3 linked regions of the Saccharomyces cerevisiae S288C genome follow. Changing the gene in region 3 together with the main gene of any one other region gives a genetic interaction. Each region holds a gene or a part of one and is shown on either strand. Other genes may lie near its edges.

The links. A genetic interaction does not mean that the proteins touch.
Region 1: mutations in RGD1 (region 3) and SRO7 together harm fitness more than expected from each alone (negative genetic interaction), as found in Saccharomyces cerevisiae (2 studies listed by BioGRID).
Region 2: mutations in RGD1 (region 3) and CWH43 together harm fitness more than expected from each alone (negative genetic interaction), as found in Saccharomyces cerevisiae (2 studies listed by BioGRID).

The regions. Positions count from the first base shown.
Region 1 is NC_001148.4:632,167-637,770, reverse strand, and holds SRO7 (Rab GTPase-binding protein SRO7), read right to left. Parts: upstream 3,649-5,604; coding exon 547-3,648; downstream 1-546. Other genes in the region: HTS1 (histidine--tRNA ligase), read left to right, coding at 1-392; NTO1 (Nto1p), read right to left, coding at 4,010-5,604. UniProt on the Saccharomyces cerevisiae protein: Acts as an allosteric regulator of polarized exocytosis by promoting the targeted fusion of vesicles with the plasma membrane.
Region 2 is NC_001135.5:144,227-149,394, forward strand, and holds CWH43 (Cwh43p), read right to left. Parts: upstream 3,409-5,168; coding exon 547-3,408; downstream 1-546. Other genes in the region: RNA-binding ribosome assembly factor RBP95, read left to right, coding at 1-280; SRD1 (Srd1p), read right to left, coding at 4,012-4,677.
Region 3 is NC_001134.8:732,081-736,620, reverse strand, and holds RGD1 (GTPase-activating protein RGD1), read left to right. Parts: upstream 1-1,981; coding exon 1,982-3,982; downstream 3,983-4,540. Other genes in the region: glycine hydroxymethyltransferase SHM1, read right to left, coding at 1-357; MIC12 (Mic12p), read left to right, coding at 581-901; TAE1 (N-terminal protein methyltransferase), read left to right, coding at 1,091-1,789; YBR259W (uncharacterized protein), read right to left, coding at 4,168-4,540.

The DNA of each region.
Region 1 (5,604 bases), on a different chromosome or scaffold from region 3:
CCTCTACAACTATAAAGCCAACGGCTACACAGGTGTTCGTTATGGCTTTTGGTGGTGGTAAGGACTGGACTGGTTATTTACCCGAAAGAATGAAGGTTACTAAGCAATTATGGGATGCTGGCATTGAAGCTGAATATGTCTATAAGGCCAAGGCTAATCCTAGGAAGCAATTCGATGCTGCTGAAAAAGCGGGTTGTCACATTGCCGTAATCCTCGGTAAGGAGGAGTACTTAGAAGGTAAATTACGTGTCAAAAGATTGGGCCAAGAATTTGCCGATGATGATGGTGAATTGGTTAGTGCGGCTGACATTGTTCCTATTGTTCAAGAAAAGTTATCACAAATTCATGAAGATGGTCTAAATGAGGTCACTCGTTTAATTAAAGGATTATAAACTTGATAGCTCATGTATTTACAAACCTTCGTAAAACTAGACATGTATAATGAAAAATAAATCGATTCAAATTAATTTATAAAGCATATAGAACTAAAAAAAAATAAGTATAGAAGGAAGTTGCTCATTACCCTGTATGAATTAGTGTATGTATTTAAAAACCAAGGGCACCTTTCATTACATCTTTTCCAGTCTGCTCAACAGCCTCGTTCATTGTTTCTCCCATGGCGGTAGCATAGTCGTTGAATCTATCTTCAACGGCGTCCCATCTAGTTTCTACAGCTCGAGAAACATTTCTTAGTACCCCGTAACTACTGTTCCTGCCCTTACGGGTGGGCTTGGTATACTGGTGTTCCGGATGGTTCGCATTATTATCGTCTGAAGAACGCTCCGAGAAACTTCCCTCAGCAATGATGCTCTCTTTGTATTTGGATGCAGGTCTATTCACGCCACCCAATAATTCATTTAATTGAGCGGGAGTACAATATACAGTGCCTCTTGCCCACTGTAATGAATTTACTTGTGGCCTATAGGGAATCCTGATTCCATTGATGTACAGTGTGTCAGAAACTGGCGCTAGCGTATCCTGTTCCTTGACAGTAGAAAATAGTGACGCCTGAAATTCACTCACTCGAATCGCTATATCACCATTTCTTAAAACAGATGATTCTGTAATGTATTTTGCGGCAATTGGAAATGGAATATGTTCAGACATTTGTTCTTTGAAATCTGGAATAGTAAAAACTCTTAGATGGCCATTGATTTCTAATGTAATTATTACGGTTAGGTTCTTCCTATCATTATTTTTCTCAACGGTTGAGATGTAAGATAAACCTGTCGCGGCAAGCGGGTATTTGAAACCTTTATGTGTACTTTTAGATTTGCCCAGTGTTATTAATCTGATATCATCGAATCCAGTTATTAATACAATACCAGGAATGCAAAGGCCTTTACTTAAATTCTGCATTTTTGGAATAGTTGCCAAGCAGCTAGATTTTGTTTCCTTTGAAAATGCATCAATTTTGTGTATCGGACCCTTACTGGTAACATTAGTAATATCCATTAGTTGCACATCGAACTTTCCACCTGATGCAGGAAGAATTTTGTATGTGATTACCTCGCCCATATCAGTACCACAGACCATCAATATACTAGAGTAACCATCGTCTCCATACTCCATAATTACGAATTCGATGCAGGTAACACATGCGCTTTGAGCTCCCGAGATTTCTCTAATGTTTTCCATGTAAATGATTGCAGGACCTCTTCTATCGATCAACATAAGGCTTCCGGCAGCATATGCGATTCCAACAAATCCAATATTACTGTTGTTGATTGCAGATGTTTTCCCTTTGTTGGCATGCACGGCAGTTGATGGCATAAATCCCTGCCTAACACCGGTAGGTGCCCTGTCTCTCACATCGACGAGAACACCATTCGTATTATTCAAAGAAAACCGCCTGAAATTCATCTCCAGGTCACCGCTTTCTGGTCTGTTCTCAACACTGTAAAACTGGTTTACTTCATATTTGAATAAAACAACGTCTCCTGTTTCAATTGACACCGCCAACTCGAGAGTCTCTGCGGCAAAAGATATCTTATCAACTGCTAGTTCTTTGGCCTTGTTCAACGTTCTTGATAGATTCACTTCAAAGCTAGCATTATCTTGTATATCCCCATGGGAAGCATCGTATATCCTAACTGAGCCATTAGAATGGCCGGTAATGAATGCTGTACCGTACTCAGCGGGAAGTTTTTGCCTTTTTGTTCTAACCCCTCCCTTCAACAAATAATCCTTGTTTTGAGCTGCAGAAAGCGCACCAAGCCATAATTTGTTTGGTACAGAAGCGGCCATTGAAGTCGTGGCTAATGGTCTCAGCCAGGAAAGATTTTGAGGGAATAAAGAGGCTTTATCTGTAAATATTCCAGAAGGATATAGCATTGTTTCTATCTCACCGTTACCTAGGATTAACAAAATTAACCCCGGATTATGACATCCTGCAAAATACGGGGACTGTCTTGGAATTGGTAGTATATTCACTATTGGCACATTGGTTGGTAAGGGAAATATCTTCATTTGTTTCGGATTTGCATAGTAGTTCTTCATACCTTCATAAGAGGTTATTGAATATCTAGGTGTGTAACCGAGGTCGATCATAGTGAGACTTTGATTATCTCCTCTGCTGATTGACTTATGAGAGATGAGTAGTGAAGTATATTCTGGATTGTTTTCACACATCCAATACACTTTCGAAATTTTGGCAGCATTAGTACTAGAATCGCGTATGTAATCAGGTTGTGGAACATTGATTTCTGTCTCAAACACTGTCCTTGCCATGATCATATGGCCTGAATTAGCATCCCAGAAAACCAAGGAATTGTCTTCATGAATAGTGATAATGTGCAGTGAATTAGGGTGATATAAGGACTGAATAACTTTGGGAGTTCTCTTTTCATTGGTTTTTTCTGAGAAGTCGCCTCCTGGAGCAAAAGGTGGTAATTCGTATATGAAGGATTGTTTGATTTCGTTCTCAACCAATGAGTATGTTAGAGTTACATACTCATATGATATTAAAACAGTTCCAATATCTCTAGGGTTCCACTGAATGGATACTATAGGTGATAGTCTTGCAGCCGGAAAAAATGAGCTTTTTTGTAGGTTGTCTAATTTGAAGGAGGAAAGTTGATCCCTATCTATGTCGTAAACTATCATTGAACCATTTTGAAGGCCGATTAGCATCCAGTCTAAGGATGCATCTGTGTCAATTGATGTTATTTTCCCCGGAACAAACACTGTTGTAAGTACTTTTTGAGAATATAACGATAAAACATACACAGTATCTTTTGCGTTAATGACCACCAAATAGATACCTTTCACAAATCTCATTTCTTTTATAGCAGATCTATCCTCCAGTTTTATAACCACTTCCACTTGTTGCTGGCCATAAATATGGACTTCCCCTGTGACTGTAGCAATTGCCAATAAATTTTGGGTGAAATCGAAAGCGGCTGCGATCGGTTTACTGCTCATCCCATATTTGTTGGTTTCTGCTAGTGAAAAAATTTTATTTTTGTTATTTGAACTTATAGGAATCTTCAAAGAAGAGGAAGATTTCGCATCTTTGGAAATAGTAGATGTCTTTGAATTTTTGGATTTAAAAGACGCCTTTGAGTTCTCAATGGGTGTCTCTGAATTTTGGCCTTTTAGGGACTTAAATGCTTCCTTAACATTTTTCAGACGTTTGCTACCGAACATTTTGTTTTGCTCTTATGTGTATAGAGAATTAGTCAGAAATAGTATTGCTTGCTCTTCTTGTTTTATATTTAACATATTCCAAGATTTAAATTCTAACGTGATTAGGTTCATTTCGTTTGAATTTTCATTTTTTACTTTTAACAAAAGCGCCGAACAGGATTCTAGAAATTAAACAAAACCAACTAAACTATAAAAACGGATATTTAGTTCGGTATTGAAATGCTAAAGAATAAAGAAAAGACGACCTTTCTAAGTTATTTTTACTAAGTGTTCCATGAAAGTAAATAATAAGCCAAACTTTTACAAGAATAGCATAAAAATACATACTCATTATACATAATGCAATATTAAAACCTTTATTTTATCCGCTGTTAAGGATTAGCTTCAGCATACGGTGTTCCCCTGCACTCAGTTCTTCTGCATCGCTTAAACCTTCTTCTTCCATAATCACCGGGCCACTCCATGGTCTTTCTTCTATCTTGTCATCATTTATTATAAAATCTCTGGATAGCAACTTCTTAATATCTACATGTTCTATGAGCCCAATTAAATTTGTTACTTGCTCTTTTGCCTTTGATGAGACAGTTTGGAGTATTCTTGATGCACCGGGTAGAGTTTCCAAAACCTCAAAAAAATGCATAATTTCCTCCTTAAAAATTTGGACAGTATCAAAATCACAATGTTTACACTTTTCTAAAATAACCAATAATTTAGGTTCAGTAACCAATCTTTCAAGAGCCTTGAATTGTTCAGATTTTATAAAGATATCCAGTACATTGATTTTTAAAAGATATTTTTGGGGCGATTTAACTATATCAAAAACCTTCTTTCGGGATCTGGACAAGCTGTTTGAAGCTTGTGTTCTCTTTTTCACCAAAGTAGTCAGCTCTTTGAGCCGGTACAAGTCTTCGAGCTGATCATTGGCAAAATCTATTCTTGTTTGCACTTGTTCCTCGGTTAAGGACCCCAATGAATTATTTTCAAAACAGGCAGTTAATGGGGTACCTCCTGTAAGCTCCCTTTTCATTGACCAATATTTGCAAATATCAAATGCGCCTGCTGGTGGGTTAGCTAAGCCAAAAAAATCAACGACCTTTTGCAATATTTCAGCAAAAACATGTGGTGCTACCGGCGTTTGATTAGGTGTTTTCCAAATTGTTTTGTTGAATTTTGAATTTGTCCTATCATTAGCTTCATTATGCTGAGGAGTTTCGGTTTGTAATGTAGAGAGTAGAGAGAAGTATTTTCTAGCTTTATTAATACCTTCTATACTCGTTTGCCATCCTCTAGGTGCATGCTTGTGGCAGAAACTTTCGACTGAATACTTTTGGGAGAATTGATTAGAGGCCAATTCTTGAATAGTGCATTTCCCTTTACTCATGTAGAGACCAGCTCGACGGGCACACGTGACATGATATGCTGTAAAACAGTTTCTTTGAAAGCACTGAATGCAAGCACCCATCTTCTTTTTACAGATGTAGCAGTTAAGTTTCCATCGTGATACGCTAACATTTTGAACGCCTTCTATAGGTTCCATATAATGTAAGTTTGAAAAGTATAGCTCTGGAAGCCATAGAGCACAAATGTTATGTACCCAAGAACCGGTGTCTGTTTGTTTGAATGCACCTGTATGACTTGGACACATTAGACAAGTGGCAAAGTTATTTTTTGAGATCATACATCGTCTACATAACCATTTTCCTTCCGGGATAAAAATTATACCGTAACATTCTTGATGCACAGCAATATCGCATCCATCACAAAAGACAATTGTATTCAGATTGTCACTGTCTGTGCCTAAACAAACTGCACACGCCTGGTCCATCGATAAACCTGTTCCATCATCAGAACCATATAGCTCATAATTCTTACAGTCCCTTAGAATATTATGCCTAGCAATCAGACTATTCGTTGAGGGTATATGTTTTTCAATATGGAACCATTCAGTTTCTAGTG
Region 2 (5,168 bases), on a different chromosome or scaffold from region 3:
ACTGAAGCAATGGAACGACTATGTGGAAGATCAAGAAACAAAAATAAAAGCGTTAATTGCAGAGGATAAGGCTAGCGAACCAATTAATGGTGAAGAAAAAGAAGAAGGTGAAAAAGACGGTAATGCCGAACAAGGGAAGCAAAAAGAGGTACAAGACGAGCAAGAGGAAGTACAAATGCCGAATAAAGAGCTTGTTCAAAGAAGTCTGAAATTACTAGAAATTTGGAAGAATGATGACTCGGAGCAGATAGAACTTAAGAATTTCTTCGTTGATGTTTAACATAGAGTTCAACAACGTTGTTCAGTTGTAGTATATATTTTACTGTGAAATACGCTCAAAAAGTAGCGGGATAAATCGTTTCAGGAAGTATAATTTCTTACAAAACTATAACAAGATCGTCTAAGTAACATACATAAAGAAATCACATAAATTTTTAAAATTCGAGGTCAAAAAAATCAGGTGGATACATAACTTACCTTAAGTTATCAAGATTTTCAGTACACACAATGTGATTACACTGATTTATAAAACCACCTTACGGCCTCTTATAAGTAATAACGTGGCTCATCAAAAACATGGTAGAAGTGACCCCTCTCACCTTCGCCTAAAAACTTATCTGGAAATTTCATGTCCTCATATTCCGGTTCACTCATATGACCGTATTCATACATAGAATCCGAGTGCTCTACTAACGCTTGCTCACTCAAAACTTGGAACTTACCAACTTGTAGCTCCGTATCGGTTATCGTTCCTCTTGCAACTCTAGCATATCCTGTTCTTCTCAAGCCCCTATACAAGATATACTCACACCATCTATCATCGTCAGAAGGATCAATGTCGTGCATTCCGGATGTTTCACTAACGTACGTATTGTAGTTGCCTTCACCTGGATCAACAACTAAGTAACTTAATAAAATAGCTGGGCGAGTCGTATTGCCCATGAGCTTAGCCATGTAGTTACTTTGCAGTCTTCTATCCTCTTCATCCTCTTCTTGTCCACTATGGAATACAAAGACGTCAACGAGAGTGTCATTGTACGTTTGAAGTGTGGCATGAATGGCTGGCGCAAGTTCCCCAACTGGAGAGGGCAATAAATGATGCGTAGAATTTACGATAGGGAATTTAGAAAGAAGAACACAGCCCCAGGTATGTTTATTTGGACCTGGTCCGAAATCTGCATACATATTCAAATCATGAGCTAGTTTGCTAGTTAGATCCCTGTTCCCCATGGTAATTCTTTGTGTATCTGTTTCTAGTAGACCTACCACATCTAGTTCCATATCTTTAATAAGGTTGATCATTCTGTCTTCAGATGCCCACATATCATTATCGAGACCAAAGTGGATAGTCCAAATACCAGCTGTAATCAACTGAGAATCTGGATGATAAGGCTGAGGAATTCCTGTAGGTCTAATATCATACACGAACCTAGCTGTTAGTGATAGCAGGGCCACGGCAAAGAAGAAAACATAAATGAAGAATTTTTTGCCCATAGTCACCAGTTGAATGTTAAGGTTTTTGCATGTTAAAGCACCAATAATGATAAATGTGGAAGAAAAGGCAAGAACCGTCTCAATCTTCTCCCTCAGTACCCAGCCCATTGGAACAAATGCGTATGCAACGACCCAAACATGGGCAAGGACAAAGATAATATAAACGGAGAATGATAGGACATAAACCCATATGTTTTGAACTTGGCCTAATGCAGAAAAATACGAAGGAACTAACCAAAGCATAGCGATAGCGTACAATAAACCACCGAAAATATATTTAGGCCATTGTGTAATGCTTCTAGCTGAAAGTACAGCAGTGGATATGAGAAGCAACAAACATGGAACTAATGGCTTGCCCATAAACTTCACAGAACTCAAAGAAGCAAATAACATGACCGTACAAGTTAAGGCGCCCCAAGGCCATGGCAAGGGACCGTGTGATTCATTGTAACCTTCCCATGCCCAATAAATAGTAGTAGAAGAATCCGTCAATAACTGATGAATTCCGAATAACAACGAGCCAAAACCAACAGCCAAAAATAATTTGCCAATCAACGAAGCAGATTTTGCTTGAGCATTCCTTTTCCCTTCGAAATTAATTGAATTAACATAAGGCGACAGCATGCCGAATAAAACAGTAAGCACGAGAGCTGTCTTATTATACCCACCATTACGTTCATCTAAAATGACCCAAGTTGGATTGTTGGTATAGAACCCCATTTTCAAGATCACAGATGCAACAAGACCTAACAGCCAAGTTAGAGCAAAAGAGAAACTAGTCTCCGCATTTGTGATATATCTTAGATTTTGTACAAACGTTGCAACGGTAATGGAAGTTCCCACAGCTACAGAAATCAACCTTAATTCTGGCATCTGAACAATATAGGCACCAATGGCAATAATACCTCCTAAAAGTACACCATATTGCGTGAAGGCTTCAGAAACGAACGGCAGATATAAGAAAATGGGTCCCAAATAACCCAATATTGCAGCTTCATAACCTGAGATTCCCATATACCATAGCGGGAAATGCCAAATACTACATAACAGGGACGTAACGTTCGACCAGAAAAGAAAACCGTTAAAAATATTTGTTAGTAAGTAAAAAAAAGAGTCAAACCTGAAATATGAACCAGTTGCGCTTCTAGCAACGGGTTTTTCCTTTTCAACCTTCTTTTCACCACTTTTCTGCAATTCTGAACTTTTTTCTTCTCCATAATTTATGGGACTAGAGTCTCTAATTTGGAAAAAACTGGTATTACCGGGTTTCTCATTAAAAGCGAGAACAATATCTATCTTTTTGAAATCAGCGTAAGCAAATGCATCAAATGCAATATCTAAAAGAATCAGAGACCATTCGAAATAAGCATATATAGAATATGCCCCAGCTCTCTGTTGGACGGAGTGCTGAATGTACCAGTAAATCATCGGGAACAATGTTCCAAAAAAAATTGTAGCAGTCAACCCTTTGTTCTTCGAAGTTAAAGGACTAGAATAGCGGGTAATCATTATATCCCATGGTAACGTTAAAACAATGTATGTGATCATAAATATATCATGAATATCGTGGTCATCTGTACTTGTAATGTATACCCAACCACCGCAAGAGACTGTCCGGAGTACACCGACAAGGAAGCATACCTTAGATTGGTTCAAGTAGTAGTGACCTAGTAGCAGTAAAAATCTTGGAAAAGCAGTTAGAGCTATTAAGATTTGGAAAATAGAACGTTCCGGATAGCGGTCCCCGATAGTGGCTGATACACTAGGAAACCACTCATCTGGATACGTATAATGTGCATTGGTTACAATTTTATGAAAATGTAATGAATAACCAGTGACCAAAGCTGCAAAGAAGGCGGAGAATGCACAAATAGTATGAGCTATAGGGATGATCTTCCCATTGATGATCAGCATAACTGGCGGTGGATACCTTCTGTATTCCTGGTTACTTATTCCTCGAGAAATCGGACATTAAAAGGGTGCAAATACTGTGGAGAAATTATAAGTTACCAAGTCAAAAAGCGAATGAGAATCTATTGTTGCGATTTTTTTGGTTACTACTTCTTACCCGAACTAACTTTACATAATAAAAAAGCATGAAGCGCATATTCAGGGACTCAAAAATCCCAAACTGGCACTTCTGTATATACCGATGAGCATACTTTGATTGTAAAAAACAACATTAAAAAGAACTGCAAACCTGAACCAAGAATACTTAATTTCAAAACCGAGAAATGAGGTACAACTTGTAGAAGTTCACTTAAACTTATTGAGCATACAATCTCAACAAAACTAACTGCAAAGTTTGTTGCTATAGTCATATAGTAATACTAGCAGGAAGCCATTAATCAAAAAGAAACTCCATATAAAACGTAATAAATATTATGAATAATAGTACAATATAAGAACAAAGACGAAGAAAATACATTATAACTGAAGTGCCAATATTAGAAAAAAAAAAGGTGGAATATCCTAGTGGAAAAATATCATCTATGCGGTGAAAGAATTAAATAGATACTATGGATTGTTTCGATCTATCCTTTTATCTGCTGCTTGCCTTTTTTTTTCATTCTCCTTCTTCAGTCTTTTTCCATAGGCGAGTCCACAGGGACTACAAAGTTCCCTGTTTTGGTCGGGTCCACTACGCCATTGAATTGTCCAAGTGTCTTTACATTTAGAGCATTCCTTTATCTCACCATTTGGGAGGATTGTTTGTCTCTTTTCTCTTTTAGGACGACTAGTAGTCTTTTTGCTGTATTTCTTCGTAATACTGGCAGACCGACTAGTTCCTTGTGCACAACTATGGTAGCCTTCAAGATTGTTTGCTTCTTGGCTAGTCGTACGTCTCTCGGAATTGCATGCACTAGTTACACGATTCTTTGAGGGTGTAATTTCGTTCAAAGAGCTGGTTTTGTTCTTAACAATATTTCTTGTAAGATCTCTTAGTTGTTCGGCATTCTCAATTTTTTTTTCAACATCAACAGCCCTTATTTGAGAAAAGGATACTTCAATAAATGAGCAACTTGCATAAACTCTTCCGCGTTCCTTATATGCCTTCTTTTTATCGTTTGACTTCCAGTCATCAATTTCTCTATTTAATAATAACGTTTTCTCCATATCTGACTTTTTAACTACTCTAGTTAAGAAGGAACTTCCAGAGTTGTCATAATTATTATATCGCATACTAGCAATAGTAAATGTCTGGTTATTTACCTAGCAACCTCTTAACAAAGCGATAACAATGAAACAGCAATATAAGTCTATTTAATTGACAACATCATTGATAAAAGTTTGAACAAGCGTCTAAAAGTCGAAGAAGTTCATTTCAAAGTTTTGTGTATCGAGCTTGATGATACTTATTTAGGGATCCGCTCTAGTTTACTGTGATACAACTGAAAAACATTACAAAGCTATCGCGCCTGCATTCTCATATTAGTGGCGTATGTTTGTGTCACATTCGATACTTCTACATAATACAATGACTGAACCCTTACCGCTGGCACAGGAATACCGCGCCGCGAAAGCAGGGTCTAGGAGAAACAATAGAATTCTTGGCGATGAGAGAGGGGAAGGCTTTAATAAAAAAAAATAGCGCTTATCCGATTCTGTTGGAATAAGTGGCTATCAATATTTACATGTTGATATGGTAGTAAGGATATAAATGCTTATATTGA
Region 3 (4,540 bases):
TCCCCACTTGGCAGGGTCTAATCCGTACAGTTCCAGAGCTCTTGCTTGACACAAGGATTCGGACTTATCGATGATTTCGTTACCTCCGTAGTATCTTTCACCTGGATAACCTTCAGAATACTTGTTTTGGAGCTCAGAACCTAGCAAATCCATAACGGCCTTCGAGGTGAAGTTTTCTGATGGGATAAGGGTGATAGAGTGTTTTTGTCTGTGACGTTCTTGTTGCAAGATGTCAAACATCTCTGGATCTCCCTCCGAGACTGGTTTGGAGACTAGCGATTGTGCACCACTGGTGAGTAGCCCACGACGATGAACAGTTGCCATACATTTGGCCAATGCAGAAGCTCTGGGAAACATGATTGAAAGACTATGAGACTCGATGTGGAAATGTCGGCTTGATGATTTTTGATAGTTTGCTCTTCTCCAAGAGGCGATGGCTTTTAGTATTTTTTTTCTCATTGACCACCAATAAGCGAAGTACCTAAAAAAAAATAATGAGTCTTTTTTATATTCTATCTCTTGGACAGAAGGGGGACAGAACAGACAGTGGACTAAGAACCAGCAGATAACGGAGAGAATCATGTCGAAATTGGGTCCGTTAGCAAGATCTGTGAAGTGGACTCTCTCTGTGGGAGTAATCGGTTCTGTTTTTTACCTGTACCGATACAGTAACAATGGCTACTTCTACGATCACGATGCTACATGGTTGAAACAAGATCATCAGGTACAGGACCTGGTGGATAGAAAAGAAGTGGTACCTGGGGAGACCAGGAACCGCAAGCTAGTTGTGACGGATGATGGCACTGCATGGAGCAGGACCATGGGGGAGAGCATAAAAGATATTTGGAATGAACAGATAAGAAACTCTGTCGATTGGATCTACTCCTGGGGTAAGAATTAGCGAGCTTTCTATTTCTCCTACTGTAACGAACATCCTCATGTATATAACCTATTGTAACGACTCTGTGTAGAACTTTATATTCAGAAAAAATATCAAAAGAAAAATTTAATTATTAATCAGTACTTTTCACTCTGGTAATGTGCATCGGTGTCAAGAGCATCTCCAAGAAAGAATACATAAACAACAACGATGGACGTGCCTGCAGATTCCCATATCAAATACGAAGATGCCATCGACTATTGGACGGATGTGGACGCCACTGTGGATGGTGTTCTAGGTGGATACGGAGAAGGTACAGTAGTACCCACAATGGATGTCCTGGGATCCAATAACTTCCTGCGTAAACTGAAGTCGAGGATGCTGCCTCAGGAGAACAACGTGAAGTACGCTGTAGACATTGGTGCGGGGATTGGACGTGTAAGCAAGACCATGCTTCACAAGCACGCCGCTAAGATAGACCTTGTAGAACCGGTAAAGCCTTTTATCGAGCAAATGCACGTTGAATTGGCTGAGCTGAAAGACAAAGGCCAAATTGGACAAATATATGAAGTAGGGATGCAGGACTGGACCCCCGATGCCGGCAAGTACTGGCTGATCTGGTGCCAATGGTGCGTGGGACACCTGCCAGATGCAGAACTCGTCGCATTCCTGAAAAGATGTATTGTTGGTTTGCAACCTAATGGGACAATCGTGGTCAAAGAAAATAACACACCTACAGATACCGATGATTTCGACGAAACGGATTCTTCGGTCACAAGGTCAGATGCTAAGTTCAGGCAAATCTTCGAAGAAGCTGGCCTAAAGCTCATCGCCAGTGAAAGACAACGTGGCTTACCAAGAGAATTGTACCCAGTGAGGATGTACGCACTCAAGCCCATGCCAAACTAGGATCAAGGATGCATAGATTTATATAGATACGCCCCTTTTCTTGTGCTGGCATTCACCATTTGTGCCATTATATAGACTTTTTTTTCGATATATATGGAAAAAGAACCCAGAAAATAAAGAATGTGAACAAAATAGTATGTAAAGTAAAAACATACAATCTCGGAAGATTAAAAGAGAAGTGATATAGACAAGATGGAAGAGACTGCGAAGAAACCAGCTAGTGCCACAGTAAGTGCGAAGTCGTCGCACGATGGTGGCACCGACGATTTGGCGCACCTTTTTAGCACGCCAGAGATCAAGAAGGTGCTAAATTCCGATGTGGCAATTAACGCTTTGTTGAGCCGTTTAAAGCAGTCGTTGTTGACTTGTGAAGAGTTTATGAAATTTATTAGAAAGAAATACGCCTTCGAAGAAGAGCACGTTCAGGAGCTCTCCAAGCAATATAAGCACTTTTTCAACATTCAGGGTTCCACAAATTCATCCTTAAAAAAGATGATTCACGAAGTTTTGGGATTCGATGGCAAGATGGCTCAAGTAAAGCAGAGTTATATCACCGCCTTGCAGAAAATGTACTCCGAGATTAGTAGTCTTTTATTAACAATGACAAAATTAAGAAAGTCTGTCAAGGAGAACAGCAAAAGGCTGGAAAAGGATGTTTCTGATGCCATACACAGCGCAGAAAAGGCGCAATCTCGTTACAATTCGTTGTGCCAAGATTGGGACAAATTGAGGATGACTGACCCAACAAAAACAAAGCTGACCTTGAGAGGTTCCAAAACTACGAAGGAACAAGAAGAAGAATTGTTAAGAAAAATCGATAACGCCGATCTGGAATATAAGCAAAAAGTAGATCATTCTAATTCTTTGAGAAACACATTCATAACGAAGGAGAGACCTAGAATTGTTCAAGAATTAAAAGATTTGATTTTAGAAATAGACACAGCGATGACTATCCAATTGCAGAAGTACACGATATGGACGGAAAATTTGGTTCTGAATACAGGTGTTACAATAAGCCCATTGGACTCCACCAAATCTATGAAATCATTTGCTGGATCTGTTTCCAATGAACGTGATCTTTACAGTTTTTTGAACAAGTATAACCAAACAGGAAAACATTCCCTACTGATCAACAAAAACTTGATCCCTGTATCATACAAAAAGCATCCATCAATGAATCATGGTCAGAAAAATAAGAGCCCCCCAAAGTTTGCCGTGGACCCTTCAAGAAACTCCATCCCGAAGAGAATGATATCCACTCATAATGAATCTCCATTTTTGAGCAGTAGTAGTAACACTGCCGCTGTTCCGAATGCTAATCTTAACAGTGCTACACCGTCCTTAAATACCAACAAGCAGTTACCACCTACTATGGCTTCATCTATTTCTTCCACTAGCAATGCGGCTGGCGCTATGTCACCGTCTTCTTCCATTGTAACAAGCGACACCACATCATCCATAACAAAGACCCTGGATCCTGGCAACAATAGTCCACAAATTCCAGAAGAATTGATTAACTCTTTAGACTCGGATCGCCCGATTTCTCACATTCAGACTAACAACAATATGCCACCCGGTGTTCAAAAAAATTTCAAAACATTTGGTGTACCGCTAGAATCACTGATAGAATTCGAACAAGACATGGTCCCTGCGATAGTGCGCCAATGCATATACGTTATTGATAAATTTGGGCTTGATCAAGAAGGAATTTATAGAAAATCGGCAAATGTACTTGATGTCAGCAAGTTGAAGGAGGAAATTGATAAGGATCCCGCAAACATTTCCATGATTCTACCATCAAAGCCACATTCTGATTCGGATATTTATTTAGTAGGATCACTGCTGAAAACTTTTTTTGCGTCGCTGCCTGATAGTGTTTTACCAAAGGCCCTATCATCGGAGATCAAGGTTTGTTTACAAATTGAAGACCCAACAACAAGAAAAAATTTTATGCACGGACTAATATATAACCTCCCCGACGCACAATACTGGACGTTAAGGGCTCTTGTCTTTCATTTGAAAAGAGTGTTGGCACATGAAGCCCAAAACAGAATGAATTTAAGGGCTCTTTGTATAATTTGGGGTCCAACTATTGCGCCTGCAAATCCAGATGACGCTAATGATGTAAATTTTCAAATTATGGCAATGGAAGTATTATTAGAGGTTTCAGATCAAGCTTTTGAGCCTGAATAAACATAGCACTTATGATATTTTCATTCCGTCTTTAATTTCCACTTGTATGTACATTGACGCTGTTATCAGATTTAAGTAAAAACAAAGGAAAATTATATATTGAGAAAAAAAAAAATTCTGTTGTACTATTCCATAATAATTTACTACAAAACTTGCTAAGGTCCAACTCCCTGTCTTCACGGTTGTTAAATTAACCTTATTAATGATGTTTTCTGTCCATCCCTTTTGTACTTAAAATTAAATGCGTAAAACTTTTGTCCTTTTTCGTTCTCTTTCAACAACAATAGTTTCAATTTTGTTAGCCTGTTCAAATTGTACAATAAGATTTCATTCCGTTTACTTGTCGGTAAAACAGCTAATTTTTCCTGTATGCTAGTTAATGATAAGGAATCAACTTCATTATATAAGTACAATATGCTCGTAGTACACATGTTGGAAACGAGTTTCAAATGCGTATTTCTTGTAGTATCGATAATAATTGGTAGTTCAATTTCAAAAAGGTGGAATGCAAATGCGTCTTGCAAAATTTGACCCCTCTTTAATTGCTTATTCGCGAAA